2 linked regions of the Rhinolophus ferrumequinum genome follow. The protein of the gene in region 1 purifies or fractionates together with the protein of each later gene. This does not show direct contact. Links are inferred from orthologs where the notes say so. Each region holds a gene or a part of one and is shown in the gene's direction. Other genes may lie near its edges.

Evidence for each region. The genes of interacting proteins can lie anywhere in the genome.
Region 2: the proteins of histone H2AX (region 1) and NAP1L1 purify together in Homo sapiens (affinity purification with mass spectrometry; 3 studies listed by BioGRID and IntAct, counting the BioPlex papers as one, with this or other methods). This does not show direct contact. The link is inferred for Rhinolophus ferrumequinum from reciprocal best matches to the Homo sapiens genes H2AX and NAP1L1.

Annotation. Positions count from the first base shown.
Region 1 is NC_046294.1:88,352,362-88,361,581, reverse strand, and holds histone H2AX, read left to right. Parts: upstream 1-5,467; 5' UTR 5,468-5,558; coding exon 5,559-5,990; 3' UTR 5,991-6,710; downstream 6,711-9,220. Other genes in the region: DPAGT1 (UDP-N-acetylglucosamine--dolichyl-phosphate N-acetylglucosaminephosphotransferase), read left to right, coding at 96-298, 583-703, 879-1,092, 1,336-1,482, 2,781-2,865, 3,225-3,413, 3,742-3,829, 3,994-4,149 and 1 more; HMBS (porphobilinogen deaminase), read right to left, coding at 7,386-7,559, 7,654-7,740, 7,884-7,937, 8,178-8,297, 8,536-8,574, 8,821-8,934. UniProt on the Homo sapiens protein: Variant histone H2A which replaces conventional H2A in a subset of nucleosomes. Nucleosomes wrap and compact DNA into chromatin, limiting DNA accessibility to the cellular machineries which require DNA as a template.
Region 2 is NC_046293.1:70,493,822-70,505,153, reverse strand, and holds the start of NAP1L1 (nucleosome assembly protein 1-like 1), read left to right. Parts: upstream 1-7,026; 5' UTR 7,027-7,180; intron 7,181-11,332. UniProt on the Homo sapiens protein: Histone chaperone that plays a role in the nuclear import of H2A-H2B and nucleosome assembly.

The DNA of each region.
Region 1 (9,220 bases):
GCAGCTTTAGTCAAGAGTTGTTGGGTTTTGCTCAGGCTGGTGTGTGGAGCGGCCACTCTTTACTGCGGCGGGCTCAGGGTTTCTGCCCTCCTTAGGCGTTAGCTGAGGAGGCGGAGGGGGCCTCCTGGCCGGTCACCATGTGGGCCTTCCCGGAGTTGTCGATGCCGCTGCTGGTGAATTTGATCGGTTCTCTGCTGGGATTTGTGGCCACACTCATCCTCATCCCTGCATTCCGTGGCCACTTCATCGCCGCGCACCTCTGTGGTCAGGACCTCAACAAATCCGGCCGGCAGCAGATGTGAGCGGTGGCACACGGATCCCGGGCAGGGGACAAGGGCTGGGGCTAGGACTGGGGTGCTTGACTGCACGCGGAGATGCAGCGCCAATCCTGCAGACAGTCCCTTGGGAGGTGAAGAGCAGAACTGGTTAGCCTTTGAGAAGGGGTGGGCGGGAGAGGGGGAACTCTCGGGTGTATCAGGGACTTCAGCAACCTAAGATTAGATTACTATAATGCTTGCACTAGTGCGTGACCACGTCCCCCTTTCCTCTTTCCCCTTCGCCCCACTTGCTGCTGGGCCACAGCCCAGAGTCCCAGGGAGTTATCAGCGGTGCTGTTTTCCTAATCATCCTCTTCTGCTTCATCCCTTTCCCTTTCCTGAACTGCTTTGTGGAGGAGCAATGTAAAGCCTTCCCCCACCATGAAGTAAGTGGGTTACTGGGGGCGGTTGCCTATGTCTGGGGATTGGTAGTTGCCTGAAAGAGAGGGTTATTTGGGTTTGGGTGGAGGGGCTGAGGGAGGAATGAAAAGACAGAAATTCTGGAAAGGAATGGTGAAGTGGGCTTAGGCTTGAGCCATGACTTGCCGGAGCCTCCCCCAGTTTGTGGCCCTGATAGGTGCGCTCCTTGCCATCTGCTGCATGATTTTCCTGGGCTTCGCGGATGATGTACTGAATCTACGCTGGCGCCATAAACTGCTGCTGCCCACAGCTGCCTCACTACCACTCCTTATGGTCTATTTCACCAACTTCGGCAACACGACCATTGTGGTACCCAAGCCCTTCCGTCCGATTCTTGGCCTGCATTTGGATTTGGGTGAGTAGCCCTGTCACTACTGCCTCTATGTTCCCTACTTCAGGGTACCAGTACACCTTGAGATATCCAGCAAAGCATCCTTCCTGGCTCTCTGTATTCTCCTCCATGTCCCCGTTTTGTCCCTGTGTCTTCTCAGATCTTTTCTGTTGGCCCTCTGTCCTCAATACTTTTCTCAAAAGAATATCCTTAAATCCTCATTCTGTGGGTGGCCTTACTTCTTTCCTTACTGTCTTCTCTCCTCAGGGATCCTGTACTATGTCTACATGGGGCTGCTGGCAGTGTTCTGTACCAATGCCATCAATATCCTAGCAGGAATTAATGGCCTAGAGGCTGGCCAGTCACTAGTCATTTCTGCTTCCATCATCATCTTCAACCTGGTAGAGCTGGAAGGTAGGTGGGATTGAGGGTAGGGAGAGAGAGAAGTCTGAGTGTTAAGCGAATTGCTTGATATCTGGCTTTGGGAAATTCAGAAAAAAAGCAATATGTTAATAACTATAGAAGATGTGTAAAGGTATTAACTTTGCAAATAACAAATAAGATTTATTAAATGTGAGAAAAACAGCAGCCCTGTCATTTATAGCTAGATTGGCATTAATATGTAGGCCATGATCTTCTCCTATCAAACATAAACAATTTCACAGAACTCCCAACCTCTGTGACCATGATACAGTAAGATGAAAACCAGACCTCTCCATAACTATGTCTGAGCATAAACAAAACCACAAGAACACAGAGCACCCCACAAAAATGACCAAGATCCCCCTCTTCTGGCTAACATGAATGATTGCTCCTTCCTTCTAACAACTCAGTTCTTCCAACTTAAATAAAAATTAAGATGCTTAATATAGAATTACTCCTGTTGACAGCATCCAGTCCAGGGGCAAAACTCTGCCTCCTTATAGCCTCCTCAGAATTACTTAAAACAAATCCTATAAAAGTCCTCGTAACATATCATTATGAGGCATCCCATGGTTCTACATGGTATGTGGTTTCTAGTTTCCCTTGTTAAAATCAAACCCAGCTTTGATTACAGGTGTGTTTCTAGTGGTTTTGGACATCAATAAGTGTTTATTAAAGCTAAGTGCTTTTTCACGGAGGCCGGTTGGCTCTGTTGGTTAAGAGCGCAGTGCTCATAATACCAAGGTCGCTGGTTCGAGTCCCACATGGGCCAGTGAGCTGTGCCTTCCACAACTAGATTGAAAACAACAATTTGACTTGGAGCTGATGGGTCCTGGAAAAACACACTGTTCCCCAATATTGCCCAATAAAAATTAAAAAAAAAAAAAAGCTAAGTTCTTTTCAGACATCTCATTTAAACTTTGTAACAGTTCTGTGTAGCAGGTGTTATCAACTGTATTTTACAGAATTTTACAGATGAAATTGAAGCTTAGAGAAGTAATGTGTCTTGATCAAGGTCACACTGGCAGTAAAGCTCGTGTTCAAACTTAGGTCTGAACAATCTAAACCAGTTTAAGACAATAACTAGTTTAGAAAGGGTTCATGAAAGAGGTACAACGTTGAGAATTACCTGGGTGACATAAAAGGGGTTGTGAGTTCTTGAATGTGACTTGGGAGAGGTGGACAATACAGATTGGGACATAACTTAGAGGCAGACAAAAATAGGATCAGGGTATACAGAGGAAGTGGCTATCAGTTTTTCCTTCTTTCTTTTTCCCCCGCTTCCAAAGGTGATTGTCGGGATGATCATGTCTTTTCCCTCTACTTCATGATACCCTTTTTTTTCACCACCTTGGGATTGCTCTACCATAACTGGTAAGTAGGCCTGTGGATAGGGGGACAACTATTTGAACATGTGGCAAGTATGGTCCTGATCATGACCCATCTCCTGATGGAGAGGCTAAATCTGTGCATACCCAGGTTGTGTTTTCTGGGTCTTCAGTTGGTAGTATTCTTAAATTTCTGTCTACTCAGCAGTGGTTGGTGACAAGTGCTGTGGTTCCCTAAGAATAGATGAATTCAGGACCCTGGGTTCCAGAGAATTGCTGGGAGAGCTGATTGGAGTCTCCTCTGAGCCAGAACTAGGGTCAGGGCTAGCCGAGTGCCCAGGGTGTGTTATGTGAAAGATTTGGTAATGCCTCTTGCCACTGGCTCAGATCCTCTCTCCCACACAGGTACCCATCACGGGTGTTTGTGGGAGATACCTTCTGTTACTTTGCTGGCATGACCTTTGCCGTGGTGGGCATCTTGGGACACTTCAGCAAGACCATGCTACTCTTCTTCATGCCCCAGGTGTTCAACTTCCTCTACTCACTGCCTCAACTCCTGCATATCATCCCCTGCCCTCGCCACCGTGTGCCCAGGTAGCTGCTTTGGGGTTTGAAAGGGACATTATAGCTTTTTCACTTGAGATTCATAAAGCCAGCCTTATACATTTGCTGTGCAAAGGGAGGACCCCAAAAAGGGCTGTTTCCCTGTGGTTAGCCCTTTATAAATTACAGAGCACATTCACTTACATAATCTCATTTAATGTTCACAGCAATTCTGATCACACAATAGTAAGCAGCAGAGCCAGAAATAGATCTCGAGTTGTTTGACTCCATATTTCATTCTTCTTCCTATTAAATAACCACACTGAAGAGAGTTCATTAAGTAGTGGCCCAGTCACATAAAACTCTCTTGCCCCTGCAGACTCAATACCAACACAGGCAAACTGGAGATGAGCTATTCCAAGTTCAAGACCAAGAGCCTCTCTTTCTTGGGCACCTTTATTCTAAAGGTAACGGGAATAAGGAGGTAAGGCTTTAGGCCACCATCCTAAATTCAGGGAACGGGGAACCTAGGCCTGCATCAGATCCAAGGGGAGTTTGGAAGCATTAAGCAGATCCCCATTCCTGAAGCATAGGTATTAGCTGATGTACTCATCACTTCCGGCCCTTCCAGGTAGCAGGAAGCCTCCAGCTAGTGACAGTGCGCCAGAGTGAGAATGAGGATGGTCCCTTCACCGAGTGTAACAACATGACCCTCATCAACTTGCTACTTAAGGTTTTTGGGCCCATGCACGAGAGAAACCTCACACTGCTCCTGCTGCTGCTACAGGTGCGGTTTGGCATAGGGTTTACTCCTCCTTGTCTCCTTTTCTCCATGGTTCTTACTCTAGTCCATTTTTCCTTGCAGATCCTGGGAAGTGCTGTCACATTCTCTATTCGGTACCAGCTTGTCCGACTCTTCTATGATGTCTGAGTCTCCAGATCATTGCCTTTTACTTCACAGTCTCCAGGGTTCCTGACTCAGGATGACCTCATTCTAGACCAAGACTGCCTCTTGGCTCGGGCCTCTCCCACCCTTCATTCTCCTTAGAATTTTGTTTCCCCCGTGATTATTGACAAATTGGGCCTTTCTTGCCCTCTAGTGACTATTGATTGGACTTTGCCAATGGTTTCTTCAACTTGCCACTCTCCCTATCCATCCAGTCTTTGTAGCCCCCTAAGGTGGGATGCTGCATTTGTTATGCAGTTTTCTACAACTCTGACTGTCAAGGACTATGTTGGGCCTGGGGATAATATAACCTTGGCTGGTGATAGGGACACAGGCTCAAAGATGACATTTCACTATAAGTATTCTAATTAGTAAAAGCAGACAGGGTTGGGGGGCGCAGGTGCTCCCAGTGGTGACAATAAAGTGTTGTCTTTTTCTTGTTCCTGTAGCTCTGTTTCCTATATGGGCATTTTAGAGTACATTGGGAGGGTTGGTGGAGGCACCTCCTCCAAGAGGATGCCTGTCTCTCTGCCCCATCCTTTTTCTTTCAGTACACCAGGCCCCTTTTAGCAAGTGAGCAGAAAGAACATATTGCAACCAGACAGAACATATTGAATAAATATTGAAATCCTGATACTTCAAGTGACATGGAGGGTCATAAGATTGGAGTTACCTGTTCTCTGATAGGGGATTGAACTTTCAGGGGGTCTCATTTCTTCCCTTTTTCATTCTCCCTTGGCCAGAAAGGAGGAGAAAGTAGGGTGTGACCACACACGGAAAGGAAGATAGAGGTAGCTGTAGCGTTGACCCCTTTCCTTTAAAAATCCCAAGTCCCACACTATTTCCCACAGGCGCTTCAGCTTGCTTCTTTTTCCACCTACTGTCTTTTAAAGATTTGGTCGGCGGGTGTAGGATTTAAATCTCGCGCGCTTCACATGGATTGGCTACGTGAGGGAGTAGTTGGCTGGCTGAAGGCCACCACTCCTCCTCGTCGTTCCCCGGGCAAACGGTTTTCAAATTCGACCAATCGGCTGGCGCGCTCCCTTAGCCGAGGCGCGTCACCGGAGGGTTAACTGCAACCAACCAGAGGCTGCTTTAGAGAAAGAAGCCAATCAGGAGGGCGCGGAGGTGTGCCCTGGTGGCTTATAAGGGCGGTTTCCGGCCGTGCGCGCCAGCAGTTAGACTGCAGTGGGTGGCTGTGCCGTGGTTTACGAAGCGCTCTTCCTCATCACTTCTCTACCTCTAGCGACATGTCGGGCCGCGGCAAGACCGGCGGCAAGGCCCGCGCCAAGGCCAAGTCGCGTTCGTCGCGCGCTGGCCTCCAGTTCCCCGTGGGCCGCGTACACCGGCTGCTGCGGAAGGGCCACTATGCTGAGCGAGTGGGAGCTGGCGCGCCGGTGTACTTGGCGGCTGTGCTCGAGTACCTCACCGCAGAGATCCTAGAGCTGGCGGGCAACGCGGCCCGCGACAACAAGAAGACGCGCATCATCCCCCGCCACCTGCAGCTGGCCATCCGCAACGATGAGGAGCTCAACAAGCTGCTGGGTGGCGTGACGATTGCCCAGGGAGGCGTCCTGCCTAACATCCAGGCCGTGCTGCTGCCCAAGAAAACCAGCGCCTCCGTGGGGCCGAAGGCGCCAGCGGGAGGCAAAAAGGCCACTCAGGCCTCTCAGGAGTACTGAGGGGCGCCCGCGCCGTCGCCGGCCTCCCGGCCCTCCCTGTGCCACCACAAAGGCCCTTTTAAGGGCCACCACAACCCTCAAGGAAAGAGCTGAGCCACGGCGGTCGGCTGCCGCTGGCTGCCCCCCACCCCGCGCGGGCTCGCAGGTGCCCGCTCGGGTTCTCTGACTGGGAGCGGCTGTTGAGCGACGGCTCGGCCCGGGGAGTGTCCGGCGCTGTGACTCAGCCACCCTGCCCTCGGAGTCGCTGACGGCCAGCGGTGAGGCCGCGGCACTTTCTGGGAGGCCGGGCCTACTCCTATGACGTAGGGCTGAGGTGAGCCGCCCGGAAGGTGAGTCGCCGGCGGAGCCTCTCAGCACTACTCGCTCGTCTGCTCCAGCTCGGTGCTTGGGCCGCCACCTCAGACATGGCTGTTGACTTGCAGGCTCTGGTGGGGGAAACATTGATCCTTAAATTCGTTAGGGCGCCCCCTTTCCTGCCAGATCCCGGGCTTTTCCAATCCGCTTCCTCCATCTTCACTAGGCCTGTGCGTTGCGGCCACGACAGACGTAATGTGCACACTTTCCCCAGAGAAGAGCGCCTTGCGGGGAGAGGCTGGGGGAGGGCCGAGGCCTCCTGCCGGGCTTCCGAACGGGCTGTGTGGACTGCAGGGCTTGTGTGTAACCCAGACGCTGAGGGGCAGCCGGGCCTCGCTAATCCTCCGCTTTGCTCCCGCCAGTCCAACAGCACAATACAGTAACCCCGGTCTGGGCCCGAGGCTCCTGAACTGAACTGGAATTGAACCAACCCACCCAACACTAGTACCTTAGGTATTGGGGAGTTTTAAGATGGGCTAATTTTGTTTATTAAAGGATTGGTTTTAAAAAATGAGTCACTTTCATTTTGCCCCAAAGTGTTTGCCAAAGGTCTGATGACTGTAGACTCTTGAGGGGGGTAGGGTTGGGAGTGTGCTACCTGGTAACAAGGCTCTGGTTAACTGGAGAGATGCAAGCTATAGGTTCACTTTTGGTGTTCTCTGGAAGACCATTTATTCTGTTTGAAATGAGAACTATTGAGGCAGAAAAAAGGAGTGTTCCAGAACTATGGACAGAGGTCCCAGCCTTGAAAATAAGGAGTAAACTGTTGTGTTTGTCCTTATCTTTCCTGCAACCCCAACAAAAACAAAAAACCACCTTCAGAACTGGTTTATTAATAGAGTTGGTTACATTCAAAGGCTTGGAATCTTTCTAAAGAGATGAAGCCCCTACCTAATGAGGCAAGGCAGTCCCTCCAAGTCTCTGACCCTGCAGTTCAATCCCCTGGGGTAATCATTCCCCAGTTAGTGAGAATGGGGCACTGAGGGCTGGGTTGTAGGCACTGGAGAGCAGTAACTCAGGCACCTGTGCCTCACAAACCAGTTAGTGGGCATCATTAAGCTGCCGGGCAACGTCCAGGATGTTCTTGGCTCCTTTGTTCAGCAACAAGTTGGCCAGGCTGATGCCCAGGTTCTCAGCAGCTAGCTGAGCTACTCGTGGAATGTTCTGGGCAGTGATGCCCACCAGCTGTGGATCATCTTCGGGGCCATCTTCATGCTGGGTGAGATAACATAAGATTTGGTGAGCACAAAAGGAGAGGTCTCAAGGCAGACTTGTTTCTTAACCCTCCCTCACTTTCCAGCCTTGGCACCTGGACAGGGACTCTGATGGTGGCCTGCATGGTCTCTTGCATACTATCTGAGCCATCCAGACTCCAGACTCCTCCAGTCAGGTACAGCTGGGAACGAAAACGGTTTGCCTTAGCATATTCTGAAAGGGAACTGCTTAGAAACCTGGGCTCTTGCTAGCAACTCAAGGATGCACAGGGAGAAATGCAATAGTCCTTTCTTCCCTGCCCTCCCACCCATGTTCCCTGCTTACTTGCCCATCCTTCATAGCTGTATGCACTGCTACTGGCACACTGCAGCCTCCTTCCTGCAATGAGAAGTTCTCCCGGTGAGCTCCAAAGACCCTTAACACTACCCTGTGACGAGAGCCCTCAGGGATCCATAGGCCTATGAGGACATGACTGAAAAGGAGGCTAAGGACCCAGACTTGGGTCCTCTATACACAATATTCAAGAATGAATTGCCACTAATTTCAGAACATGAATTTTAGAAATCTCCCCACTATTCCCAACTCCCCACCCTTCCACAGGTGAAATACAGGCCCTACCAGGTGCCTCAGGAAGGCCCGTTCAGCAATGCAGCAAAGCAGAGTCTCAGGATCATGCAACACACCCACCAGATCCAAGATGTCCTTGTCCTTGGCTCGGACTTCCACGCCCAGAGCTCCCTGGTGGAAAAACAGCCTAAGACATCAAGTCCAATCTTTCCCCAACCAATGGAGCTACGGATGGGAACCAGCCCAACTCCACCTGCTCCCCAAGGCCTTTTGGTACAGTAGCCTCCCAAGACCTGCCCCTCCCTAGGAACGTTTATGCTGGGGAAGCAGATGCAGACTCAGACAGTTGCGTGACCATCTTGGTTGAGAACAAAGGGGTATATAAACACGTCTTCCTGGTCAAGCATACCTGACCCACAGCATACATGCATTCCTCAGGGTGCAGGATCTGTGGGGGCAGAATAGGCAGAAGGGTAGAGATGAGAGTACCTAAAAGAACAGCAGTGAGATGGGGCTTCCCTATCATATAGAAAGCCTCGATAAGCAAAAGATGGCCTCTGATCCCCAGTCTTCCAGCCTGGGACTCATTTTGATTGTAGTGTTTTCCAAAGACTAGAGGCGGGGTGTTCAAGAAGAGCACATAGGCAGGAAGGGGATAAAGATTAACTGGGGAGGGAATAGGGGCAGCCCCTACCTGCCCCACCCGGTTCTGCCAGCCCATGCGCTGCAGGCCAGCTGCAGCCAAAATGATGGCGCTGAACTCCTGCAGCTCATCCAGCTTTTGAAGCCTTGTGTTGAGATTTCCTCGCTGTGAAGAGATGCTAAGGACCATGAGCATTGTTCCCTCTTCCTGAAACATTCTCTAAATGGTTAACTTCTCATCTTTCAGTTCTCAGTTTAATGGTAACAGCATGCCACATACTAAAGTGTTTTACATGTCAACTCATTTAATTTTCACAGAAACTGAGGTAGGTTTTATTATCTCCATTTTACAGATGAGGAAAATGATACACAGAGATTAAATAACTTGCCCAAGATTACAAGATCTCTAAGTCTTCCTTGCCCCACAAATCTGTTTAGCTGTTCCAGTTAGA
Region 2 (11,332 bases), on another chromosome or scaffold:
TTGTAGTCAACTCTTCACTCCTCCAGAACCCCTGGCAACCACTGATATGTTTTCCATTACTATATTTTTGCCTTTTTCATACGACATATAAATAGAATTATATAATATATATCTTTTTGAAACTGGCTTTTTTCACTTAGCAAAAATGTATTTGAGATTAATCTGTGTTGAGTGAATTGGTAGTTTGTTCCTTTTTATTTATGAGCAGTATTCCATTTTTCCACTGTTTATCTATTCACCTGTGGAAAGACATCTTCGTTGCTTCTGGTTTTTGGCAATTAGAAATATTCACCTCCAGGTGTGTGTGTGTGTGTGTGTGTGTGTGTGTGTGTGTGTGTATAAGTTTTCAGTTCATTTGGGTAAATACCCAGGAGTGAGATACCTGGGTCGTATGGTAAGGTACTATATTTAACTTTATAAGATATTGCCAAACTATCTTCCAAATGACTGTACCATTTTGCTTTCATACCAGCAATGAATGAGAGTTCCTGTCATTCTACATCTTTATCAGCATTTCGTACCGTCAGGATTTTTGTTTGTTTGTTTTAATTTGAGCAATTCAAATGAGTGTATAATGATATCTAATTGTGGTGATATGTTGCAAGCACTGCATTTTGTAGATCATCCCTGTTGTGTATTACAATCAATGTTTCTGCTGCATAGTACTTTTTGGTATACATCCACTGCATTTCACTATCAATTCTCCCAATAACAGACCCTCCAATTGTCTCCAAACACTATCATGTGATTTATTGTCTCCAGTCATTACGATCTCAAGGATTTTAATATTTCTTTCCTTTCTTTTTATCAGCAAGTTGTTTCATAGATGAGGAAAAATAATAATATCCAAATAATATCCAAACCATATCCAAATACTATCTTGCATAGAGTAGATTGTGAAATTTTCTCTATGGAAACATTTCTCTATGAAACATAGACTCTATGATAAATATAGAATTGATACAGTTGTCTTCAACAAAGGATTATTTAATAAAGCATGATGACGTCTGATTTATTTTTAAGCATTATGACTTCTCTTTCTCTTTCTCCCTCTCTTGCTTTCTTCCTTTTATTTCGTTCTCTCAAACAATTATTTATTGAAGGCTTTGCCTTGCCGGTCACTGTCCAAGCCGGGGGTATACAAAAACAAGGACACTGCCCTGTAGCAGCTAACAATCTAGGATAGTGTGTGTTGAAGGAGAAGGAAACATGGGAACAAACATACATACAAAAAAGAATAGACAAGCGTGTGCAGCCAGATATGCTTTTGTGAGTTAGGAAAGGTTCCCCAGAGAAGATAAAAATTTGAACTAGAAGTTGAAGGACAAGTAGAAGGGAAGCACAGAAAGCATAAAAACGCTTGGCATGAGGAGAGTCTGGTGAGTAGTTCAAAGTCATAAAGTATGGGGTTCATGAGTATGGATAGTGGGGAGTATGCTAGAAAAGTAGGATGCCTTCCGATTGGACTGGGCTTTGGAGGCCTTATTTTGTTATGTAGACATAAAGTGCCATTGAACGTTTTATGACAAAGTGGATTTGATTAGACTTGTATTTTAGAACCATAGCTTTGGCAATGTAGACCAGAGAGGAATAAGATATTAGGGAAATTAATGGCAAGGCTATTGCACACAGTTCAGGTAAGAAATATTGAAAACGCACACTAAGGAATCGCCTATTTTCTGCCTAAGTGGTCTATTTGTGAGAAACAAAGGGAAAAAGTAAATCTGGGAAGGTAGGCCTATATTTGGCATGTAAATTAGGAAAACAAACCCCAATCATCATAAAAGGGCAACTTCAGGGATCCTTGTGGTGTTGATAGAACTGTTCTGTATCTCGCTTGTGGTGACACACAAACTACGCATGCGATAACATTGTGCAGAAGAACTAAATATACAGGCCCACTTAAGTGGATCCAAGTGAAACTGGGGAAGTCTCAATAAGATTATGGATTGTTTGTACCATTGTCGTAAACTGGGTAAAGTTTACACGATCTCTGTGTGTTGTTCTGTGCAATTGCGTATGGCTTTACAATCATTTCAATAAAAGTTTCAATTGAAATGATAGCAAAATAAAAATATTTTCTATTAATTCCTCCTCCCTTTTCCTTTCAGATGTAGAGGGAAGAATTTAAGGCAACTTGTCCACAATTCTCCACTGGAATTTAGATTGATTTTATATTGCATTTATATTAACAATTGGAAAAAAATTAAAACCAACCAGATTCAAAACTAAGAAAACAGTTATTTAAATGTGACTTGTACAGTTTTAGATTATTATTGGTGCCATTAGACATTTTACATACTGATTAATTGAGAAGGGAAAAAATAAACATTTATTGTGTACTTCAAGTGCAGGTCAATGATCTGAGGGCTCACATATATTTCTCTGTTTCATGCTAATGAAGAGGCAGGTGTTATTAGAAGAACTATTACTTCTCTGAGAAAACACCAAATGACAGATGACACCGGTGCACCAGGAGGGCCCAGGAGCCTGGGGTGTGGTGGGGGAGGGGCCCTGGACGATTTGGCAGCGGGGTCCCTGGCCAAGGTCGTGCGGGATGTGGGTGAGCTTGCAAAGGCAAGGCTGAGGACCAGGAGTGGATCGTCATCACCAAGCTGGGCCGCCTGGTGAAGGACCTGGAGATCAAGTCTCTGTCCAGCTCTCCCTGCCCATCAAGGAATCTGAAGTCATTGATTTTTTTTTCCTGGGGACGTCCCTCAAGAACGAGGTTTTGAAGATAATGCCGGTGCAAAAGCAGACCTGTGCACACCAGAGGCCCCAGTTCAAGGCATTTGTCCGCCATCCGGGACTACAAAGGACATGTGGGTTTGGGTGTTAAGTGCTCCAAGGAGGTAGCCCCTGTCATCCGTGGGGCCATCATCCTGGCCAAGCTCTCCGTTGTTTCTGTGCAGCGAGTCTACCGGGGAACAAGATGGGCAAGCCCCACACTGTCCTTTGTAAGGTGACCTGCAGCTGTGGCTCTGTGCTGTGCACCTCATCCCTGCCCCCAGAGGCACTGGCATCTCTCAGCTCCTGTGCCCAAGAAGCTGTTGATGATGGCTCATATTGTCAACTGTTCTACCTCAGCCAGGGGCTGCACTACCATGCTGGGCAACTTCTCCAAGGCCACCTTTGATAAGTCAAAGACCTGCAGCTCTTTCACCCCTGACCTCTGGACAGAGACTGTGTTCATCAAGTCTCCCTTCACGGACCATCTTGTAAAGACCCACACCAGAGATTCTGTGTAGAGAACCCAGGCTCCAGCTGTGGCCGCCACATAATTTATACAAGAAAAATAAAGTAAATTGATCCTGTTAAAAAGGAAAAAAAAAAAAAGAATTATTAAAGCACTTTACAGATGGGGAAAACCTAAGGGTCAGAGTGTACAGATACATGTGGGAGGTCAGAGATTTGGTTGAATCTACGCCTGTCTGACTTTCAAGCCTATGTATTTCCTACTACTTAGGGGCTGAAATACAGACACAGGCACACTTAAAATATCATCTCTGTCACTGTCTTATCTGGTTGATCTCTACAGTGTCTGTATTCAGTACTTAGAAATATGGGATATTGTACTTTTGTGATAATCAGTGTGGATCATTTCAGCTCAGGAAAACATGTTTCAAAATTTGTGACAAGATAGCTTTTGATAAAATATTTCACAAAAATGTGTTAGATACTATTAGAAGACTTACGGGAAGTTTCTCCAACCATTAATTAAAACAAAAACAAAAGTTTACGATGTAAGAGGTTTATGATGTTTAACTTTTGTTGCGTGTTTACTAAATGTCAGGTACCATGCTAAGCAATTTACACATTGCTTAAAATTTCACAACAAAATAGGGACAAAACTTGGGCTGTTTGACTCCCAAAGAGCCACACTTCTAAACCACCAGGCTTTTACAATGCTATAAAAATCTACCAACTGAAAATAATGGGAGATGAAGCAAAAAGGAAGTTTAACCGGAAGTTTAGCATGGTCCAAGGTCAGTGACCAGGGCCACAATTTATAGTAATTAGATGAGTTAGCTATATTGTGTGACTTGAGGGGTCAACGTGCAAATCTCAATGGTTTCTTTAGGTCAGTCATCTTCTACCCCTTTGTCTCATTTTATTTTCTTCATAGCACTTTCACTTACTAATATCTACAATTATTTCATTTCTCGTTTGTCACTTGCCCCACCTCACTGGAACGTAAGTTCAATAAAATCAAGAACCTTGTCTATCTTGTTCAATACTGTATTTCCAGTGTCTCAAGTTGTTTCCAACATATAACTATTTGTTGAATGAATGTATAAATGATTGGCCTTCCCTGGACTTAAGTAGCCAAGGTTTAGACTTACAAACTATGATTGAAAAGATCACATTAAAAGATATGCATTATTAGCACTTTATTAGTATTTCACTTTTAGGTTAGCTAGGACACCTTAAAAGAAAGGGAGGAGGAAGCTGGAGGAAAGAGCTGGAGAAGGGTGCTGTAGAAAAGGGGGAAATAATGTATATAAACTGGTAATGATAAGCCCTTAAATATGGGAGTGGGGGTTGAAACGTCAGAAATTTGGAGACTTTGGTCAGTGCCTGAAATTTGTGGGGGTCCCTGGAGTGGGACAGAAACCATCATGAAAGCTAACTTCTCAATTCAGTCTCATTAGTTCTACCACTGAAAAGGTTTATGGAAAGGAGAAAGCTATTTAGTTCATTTTTAATATGTTGATTATCTTGCATTATGTATAGCTTTGAATAAAATGCAGAGCGCTCTTGAGGCCTCCACTGAAATTAGTGCCAAGTGTATGTACATATTGGACACTGGCCTACCTAGTTTATGTTTTGTGGATTCTTCATGAGGAATCATCACTGATGTTATTATAATCCTTGTTAGCCTTACATCATTGTCAAGTATGACGTACATGAAGAAATAAGGTTGAGAAATACAAAAGAATCACACATGAAGAACAAAAATGAATGGATAAACTGAGCACCTGTCGCATGGAGTGGGAAAGGCAATGCATTTCAATGAGATATGGGAGTGAGGATTACAAAAGATGACTCCAGGCAGTTTGAAGTTTCAAGGGACGAAACATTTAGAGAAGAGGTTCTCAAATTTTTTGGTCTCAGGACCCCTTTACAGTTTTAAAAAACTGAGGATTACAAAGAACTTTTATGTGCATTACTGATATTTGTCATATTAGAATTAAAATTAAGAAGTTTTAAGAGTAGATTTTAAGAGTTGTTATTCATTATCTTATTTAAAAACAATAAGCCAATTAAATGTTAACATAAAGAATATTTTATACGAGAAACGTTGACCCCAAAACAGAAGATACCCACTAAGAAGGGCTCAAATTTAAAACCAGAGTTTCGCAACCATTTTCTAAATATTTCTCTCATATGCTTCAAGAAAAACCCTGTACTAAGCTGCCTCGCTCCCACATTAAGCCGTTTGCCTCCCGCCTGCCTCATAGCATATGATAAATATCAACCCTTTTAAAGGAGTTTCTGGAATCCCATTTCAACCAATAGGATTGAGACTTTCCCCATCCAATCAAAGCTGTACAACTCTATAAGCGAATGTATGTCACTGACCAATCAGAGCTGCTCCCTTTTAACCAAAGAGGACAGTGCTTTTTGGACCAATCAAACTGTGAGGATCTGAAGTCCTCATTTGCATGAAGATGGTCCAATCGGGGACCAGGAGTGGGTACCTCTCTCTGTATAAGTCAGCTCCCCAGTGGCTCAGAGAGAGCACTTTTCCTTTCCATTAAAGATTGTGCTTCGCTGGCTGGACCTGAAATACTGAAGAGGCTTGTGGACCTGGGAGAAGCAGAGGAGAACAGAGCTATCTATTAGAGAGGGGACTCTGCTCAGGCAGCCTCACAGTCCTGCTATTTCGTACATAATTAAACAGCTCTATAGCTATGCTGTATTAGGATTGAGCTATATGTAGTTTACCACAAATTGGGGGTTCCTGTTGTCATTGAATTGGCGCCAAGACCATGGTTTGACCAAAGTAACTATTTTTTAAAACACAAAAAGTTAGAATGGCATTGTTTTATATTTTTGCAAATCTCTCTCTGGTTTAACAGCAGATGGCTGGATCCTAATAGTTGCTTCTGTTTTCCATGTTTCCATATCACATGTCATGTAGCCTCTGGAAAACTGCACTGTGAGAGAATGAGCGTGCAAAAGGCAAATGACGCTTTAGTAAATATTAGGAAATACTTTTGACTTTCACCTGTGAAAGAGTCCGAGAATCCTCGGACCACACTTTGAGAACCACTATTTTAATATTAGTCATTATTAAAGTGGATATTGGTCAATCCTGCATCAGTTGAAAACTAGCCAAGCAATTTCACAGTCCTGAGGATTTACATAGGGTTTCCTTTTTCAGGAATATGAAACGACTGTCCTCATTATAAAGGATCCGGAGAATACACAAACATGCCATAAAACATCCGTCAAAAGAACTAAAGCGGAAATGAGGGATCGCACGTCAAGTAAAAGGATGTTGGAGTAAGAATGAGGAGCACCCCAGGAAGCCATGGAGGTCCACTGAGTGAGGAGAAGCAAAACCGGTAGAAGACTCCGCCAAAGGGAAAAAGTGGGCAGGGAGAGAAAATGGTTACGAGGAAGGGGAGTTGCAGGAATTAGGTTGGGAAGAGGACGGAAACTAAAGAGCACTCGCCCTAAGGATGCGGCAAGCCCACACGGGGCGGCTGGCCCCAACCTTCATCCCTCCCTGCACCACACTTAGGCGGGCGAGGTGGACCGGTCCAGGCGCCCGGGTCAGGGCCCTTCCCAGAGCGGGAGGGGTTGAGATTTCCTTTCAAGGTGAGGTGGGGGAAGAGTTGGCGGGTACGTAGTAGGGGGCGGCGGCAGGAACCCAAGGAACCTAAGCAAGGCGCAGAGGGTTGGAGGTCGCCAGGGAAGAAGGACAGTTCTGTTGCTATGCAACCCGCCCTAGGCCCGCCTCCCGCTCACGTTGCTAGGAGACGGCGAGGCCGGGGGAGGGCGGCTGAGCGGGCCCTACGTGCTGACGCTAATTGTATATGAGCGCGAGCAGCGGGCTCTCGGGTCTTTTTTAGCGCCATCTGCTCGCGGCGCCGCCTCCTGCTCCTCCCGCCGCTTCCCTGAGTCACTGTCTGCGCAGCTCCGGCCGCCTGGTTCCCCGTGCTGGCCACCGGTAACGGATGGGGGCCTGAAAGGGAAGGAGGAACGTAATGTCGGCCGGCTGGCCGGCGCGGAGGGGAGGGACGGGGGGATGGGGGACGGAACCGAGAGCAGCGGCTGCTGGCCGCTCCGGGCCTCTCGGCTCGTCCTAAGAGGTCAGAGCCGGAGCCGTCCGCGGAGTTTCGACCCCGTAGCCTGCGAGGCCGCTGGGATCGGCCGGCGCATTTTCCGGGAACGGGCTAAGAAGATGCGGGGGGTTGGTCGGCCCGGGAGGGTCGGGGGCCGTGCCAGTCTGCGCCGAGGTGCCCTGAGCTCCACCGGCCTCTACGCGCGGACGGGGGCGAGGCCGCGGCGTCGCCCAAGGCGCCCCGAAGAGGCGACGGCCGCGCCGCTAGGGGCCGGGAGGCTCCCGGGGTGCGGGCCGGGCGCGAGTGCCTAGTTTCCTGCCGCCTCGCTGTCCCAGCTTTCTCAAAACTAGTACCCGGAGAGAGGCCGCTGGGGAATGGAAAGAAAGGTGGAGGCTGCGAATTCCGATGGGAGGGAGGGGCTGTGAAGGGACGAGGCCCCGAGGCAGGGAGGGGGCGGGGAGGCTGCGAGGCTCTGGGGCTCTCCGCCCATTGGAGGCGGCGACCGTGCTGGGCGGGGAAACCCCGGCGGCTTCCTTCGACACGTGGCCGCCGCCTAGGACAGGTTGGCGACCCCTGTGTCTGTTGTCCTTACTGAAAGTTGTAGAGACGGTGGGATGTGAAAAGGAATAGTGAGCCCATAGGTTCAGCCCCTGGGTTTCAGACTCATCCCTGCTTCTCTTTGGTCTTCACCTTTTTATTGGTTCTGGAGGAAAGTACGAATGTTAGGTGATGGATAATGAAGCAGGGCCATCAGTGCTAGATGTTTAAAAGAATTAATGCTAATGTTAGTTGTTCTTAACAAAAGATTTTTTGTGTAGCTCAAGCCCAGTTAGAATTTGGATGGGTGTCTCTACCAGGCTTTTTTATTCGGGGAGAATTGATCCTAATCAGTGTAATCCTCTAAATGGTTCTAAGATGGCAATGCTAGAGGATTTAGTCTGCAATGTCTTTAATTTTTCAAGGACTAATATTTTCTTATAAATTTGTTCCTTTATTGTAGTTCCCAGAATGAGATACTCGCTCTTTTAAGATGAGTGGGGTATGGTGGAGAAACTAGGGAATGGAATGAATAGTTAATGTAAACTTATTGATCCAAGTTTGTAACCTGCTGCCTTATCAGTGACCCCACTTTTTCCTTAAGAAAGAAGGCAGTGAAGGGGGGTGGGAAAGGGAGTCCTATCTGGGAATGCTAGGGTTTCAGTACAAAAAATGAACTGAGTGCAGGATGTCCTCAAGGAACCCGTATTTTAGACCATCACTGTCTGATTAGTTACTTTTGTAATGAAAACACCGCTTGCCTGGTTTGTGGAGAGCTGAGCTTTAAAACGAAATTTGCCATTTTTGAATTTAGCATCAAAATAGCGTTTCAAATTAGTATTTAGGTCTTATTTTCTTGTCAACTTGAATTAATACTACTTCTACATTTATTTTACTTAGGAAATAATATACATTCTCTTTTTTTTTTTAAGGATTTTTATTGGGGAAGGGGAACAGACTATTGGGGACAGTGTACTTCAGGCCTTTTTTTTTTTTCCCAAGTCAAGTTGTCCTTTCAATCTTACTTGTGTAGGGTGCTGTTCAGCTTCAAGGTGTTGCCCTTTCATTCTTAGTTGTGGAGGGTGCAGCTCAGCTCCAGGTCCAGTTGCCATTTATTTCTAGTGGCAGGTGGCACAGTCCACCATCCCTTGCGGGAGTCGAACTGGCAACCTTGTGGTTGAGAAGACGCGCTCCAACGGAGCCATCCGGGAGCTCAGCGGCAGCTCAGCTCAAGGTGCCGTGTTCAATCTTAGTTGCAGCGGGCGCTGCCCACCATCCCTTGTGGGACTCGAGGAATTGAACTGGCAACCTTGTGGTTGAGAGCCCACTGGCCCATGTGGGAATCGAACCGGCAGCTGTCGGAGTTAGGAGCATGGAGCTCTAACCGCCTGAGCCACCGGGCCTGCCCCACATTATCTTTGAATAAGGGGAAAACTTTATACTGTAAATCCTCAATGTCATGGATAGGTTCTTTGACTTTAAGCGAAACGATGTATAAGGAAACCAGTGTTAGGAAAGGCTAATGGTTATCAACAAGGGTTAAGTTGTCAGAGTATCTAATCAACTTTGACATTGAATGAAACCATGATAATTGAAAACCTGTTGTATGTAGATTAACTTATTTAAAATTGATAGGAGGTAAAAGAGGTTTACAGTGATCTGGGAGTACTAAGTCTCAAATGCTTGTTCAAAGTTGTCCGAGTTCAAATGCGCCAAATCTAAAATGTGCGATTCACTTTTTAAGAAAGATAGAGGGTAGGTGAAATTAAACATTGGTAGGTCTGTTTGGACATGTAATATAAAAAGCTTGACTTCATTGTCTTTTCAGGTCAATGTTACGTTGATTTTGTAAATAGTTTTTAAAAATTCACTATACCTGTTTGAAAATCGATAAATTTTATGTGTTGCAAAGTATCTATTTTTGATGTTGGGTCTATTAACAGAGAACGTTATTAAGCTAATACTAAATGTGGTGTTTGACTGTCTTTGTCCTCTAGAGACTGAAAAAACAAAATGAAAAAATAACCATTTGCACCAGAACTAATTTAATCCAAAATGCTGTTGCTTGTTTCATTATTTACTTGACTTGCCCATAGTATCCACTTGACTGATTTGATTCTAAACATCCCAAAATTTGTTAAATATACAGTCTTTTGTAGGAAAGGGGGCTAAAAGAGGCAGAATCTGTTCAGCTTCAAGGTACTGAAGATGTTAAACAAAATTGAGTAAATTTGAAGATGTAATTGGCTTTTTTAAGTGATGGACAACTTCCCATCCAGCAACCAGAAAGGCCCTTTGAGGGTTTGTAGCCAATGAAAGGTTTTTATAGTAAGAAGAGTAGGGCAGGATTGCTATTAACAAAAGAAAAGAAAGGATTGTTTTCTGCAGGGGTGTTTTTATCATGCAGTTGCCTCTTTCTATGGGGTGGGGGCAGAGGGTCCATGTGACAAATTACCTCATTGGTGTTGACTAGAAAATTCCTGATAGATTATGTTTCTGGGAGAGTTAAAACTGCAGTTAGATCAGATATTAAATCTAGGTTGGTATCATGGGCTTTTAGCATGAGTGATGCCATTTTGGACTTGTGGTATTCTGTTTAACAATGTCAAAATGCTATTTTGCTTATTTTGTTCTTTGTTTGCTTGGTTGTGACTTTGGAATATTAATGAAAGGTAGAATTAGAGGGAATGAATCCTGATCAATTTAGAACACTAATCATCTATTGAGATCCTTCAAGTCTAATCAAATCTGTAATTACTTGTGTTCTTAGTTGATTCTTTGAGTAAATATTTTAGTACCTATTTGGCATATATAACATTCTTTACATGAAGGAACCTGTTAACAATGGTGATGTTAAGTCCCATTCATACTGATTTCATTTGAATATGTTCTTTCCTTGTGCAGAGTAGGAGTTAGAAGGTGAGTTGCTGTTGTTATTCATCCTTTTAAATTGTTTAGTACATTGACAGTAGACCACTAGGTCACATTATTGGGATTGCCACTGAAGGTAATAGTCTGTATACTTGTGGTTATCAACTCTGCCTTTTACTGCTACATAGTTTGATACATTTTTATTTGTTCAGAACCTTTGTATGTTTTGATTTTTATTGGATTAATTTCTAAGATAAAGAAGATACAGAAGAGAACAATGGGTGGATAATGTAATGGCACTTACTGGGTGGTTATTCAGGCAATATTTAAAATTATTCTACGTATATTATTAACTGATCCAGTGCTCCTGGAGGTAGATACTATGAACATTCTAATGAGGAAACTGAGGTCCAGAGTAAAGAATTGACTCAAGGTTACATAACTGAGCAATGATGATTTATGAGGATTTTGTATTGGTTTTAAAGGGAGTTCCCTTGACTTAAATTGTTATGCTGTACATCAGTTTGGATTTCAAAAGCACTCTTGCTTGGGTTCTCCTGTGCTCCAGGGAAAAGCTACAACACTTAATGGTTATGAAGTCGTTTTCCAAACATGTCGTATATATTCCA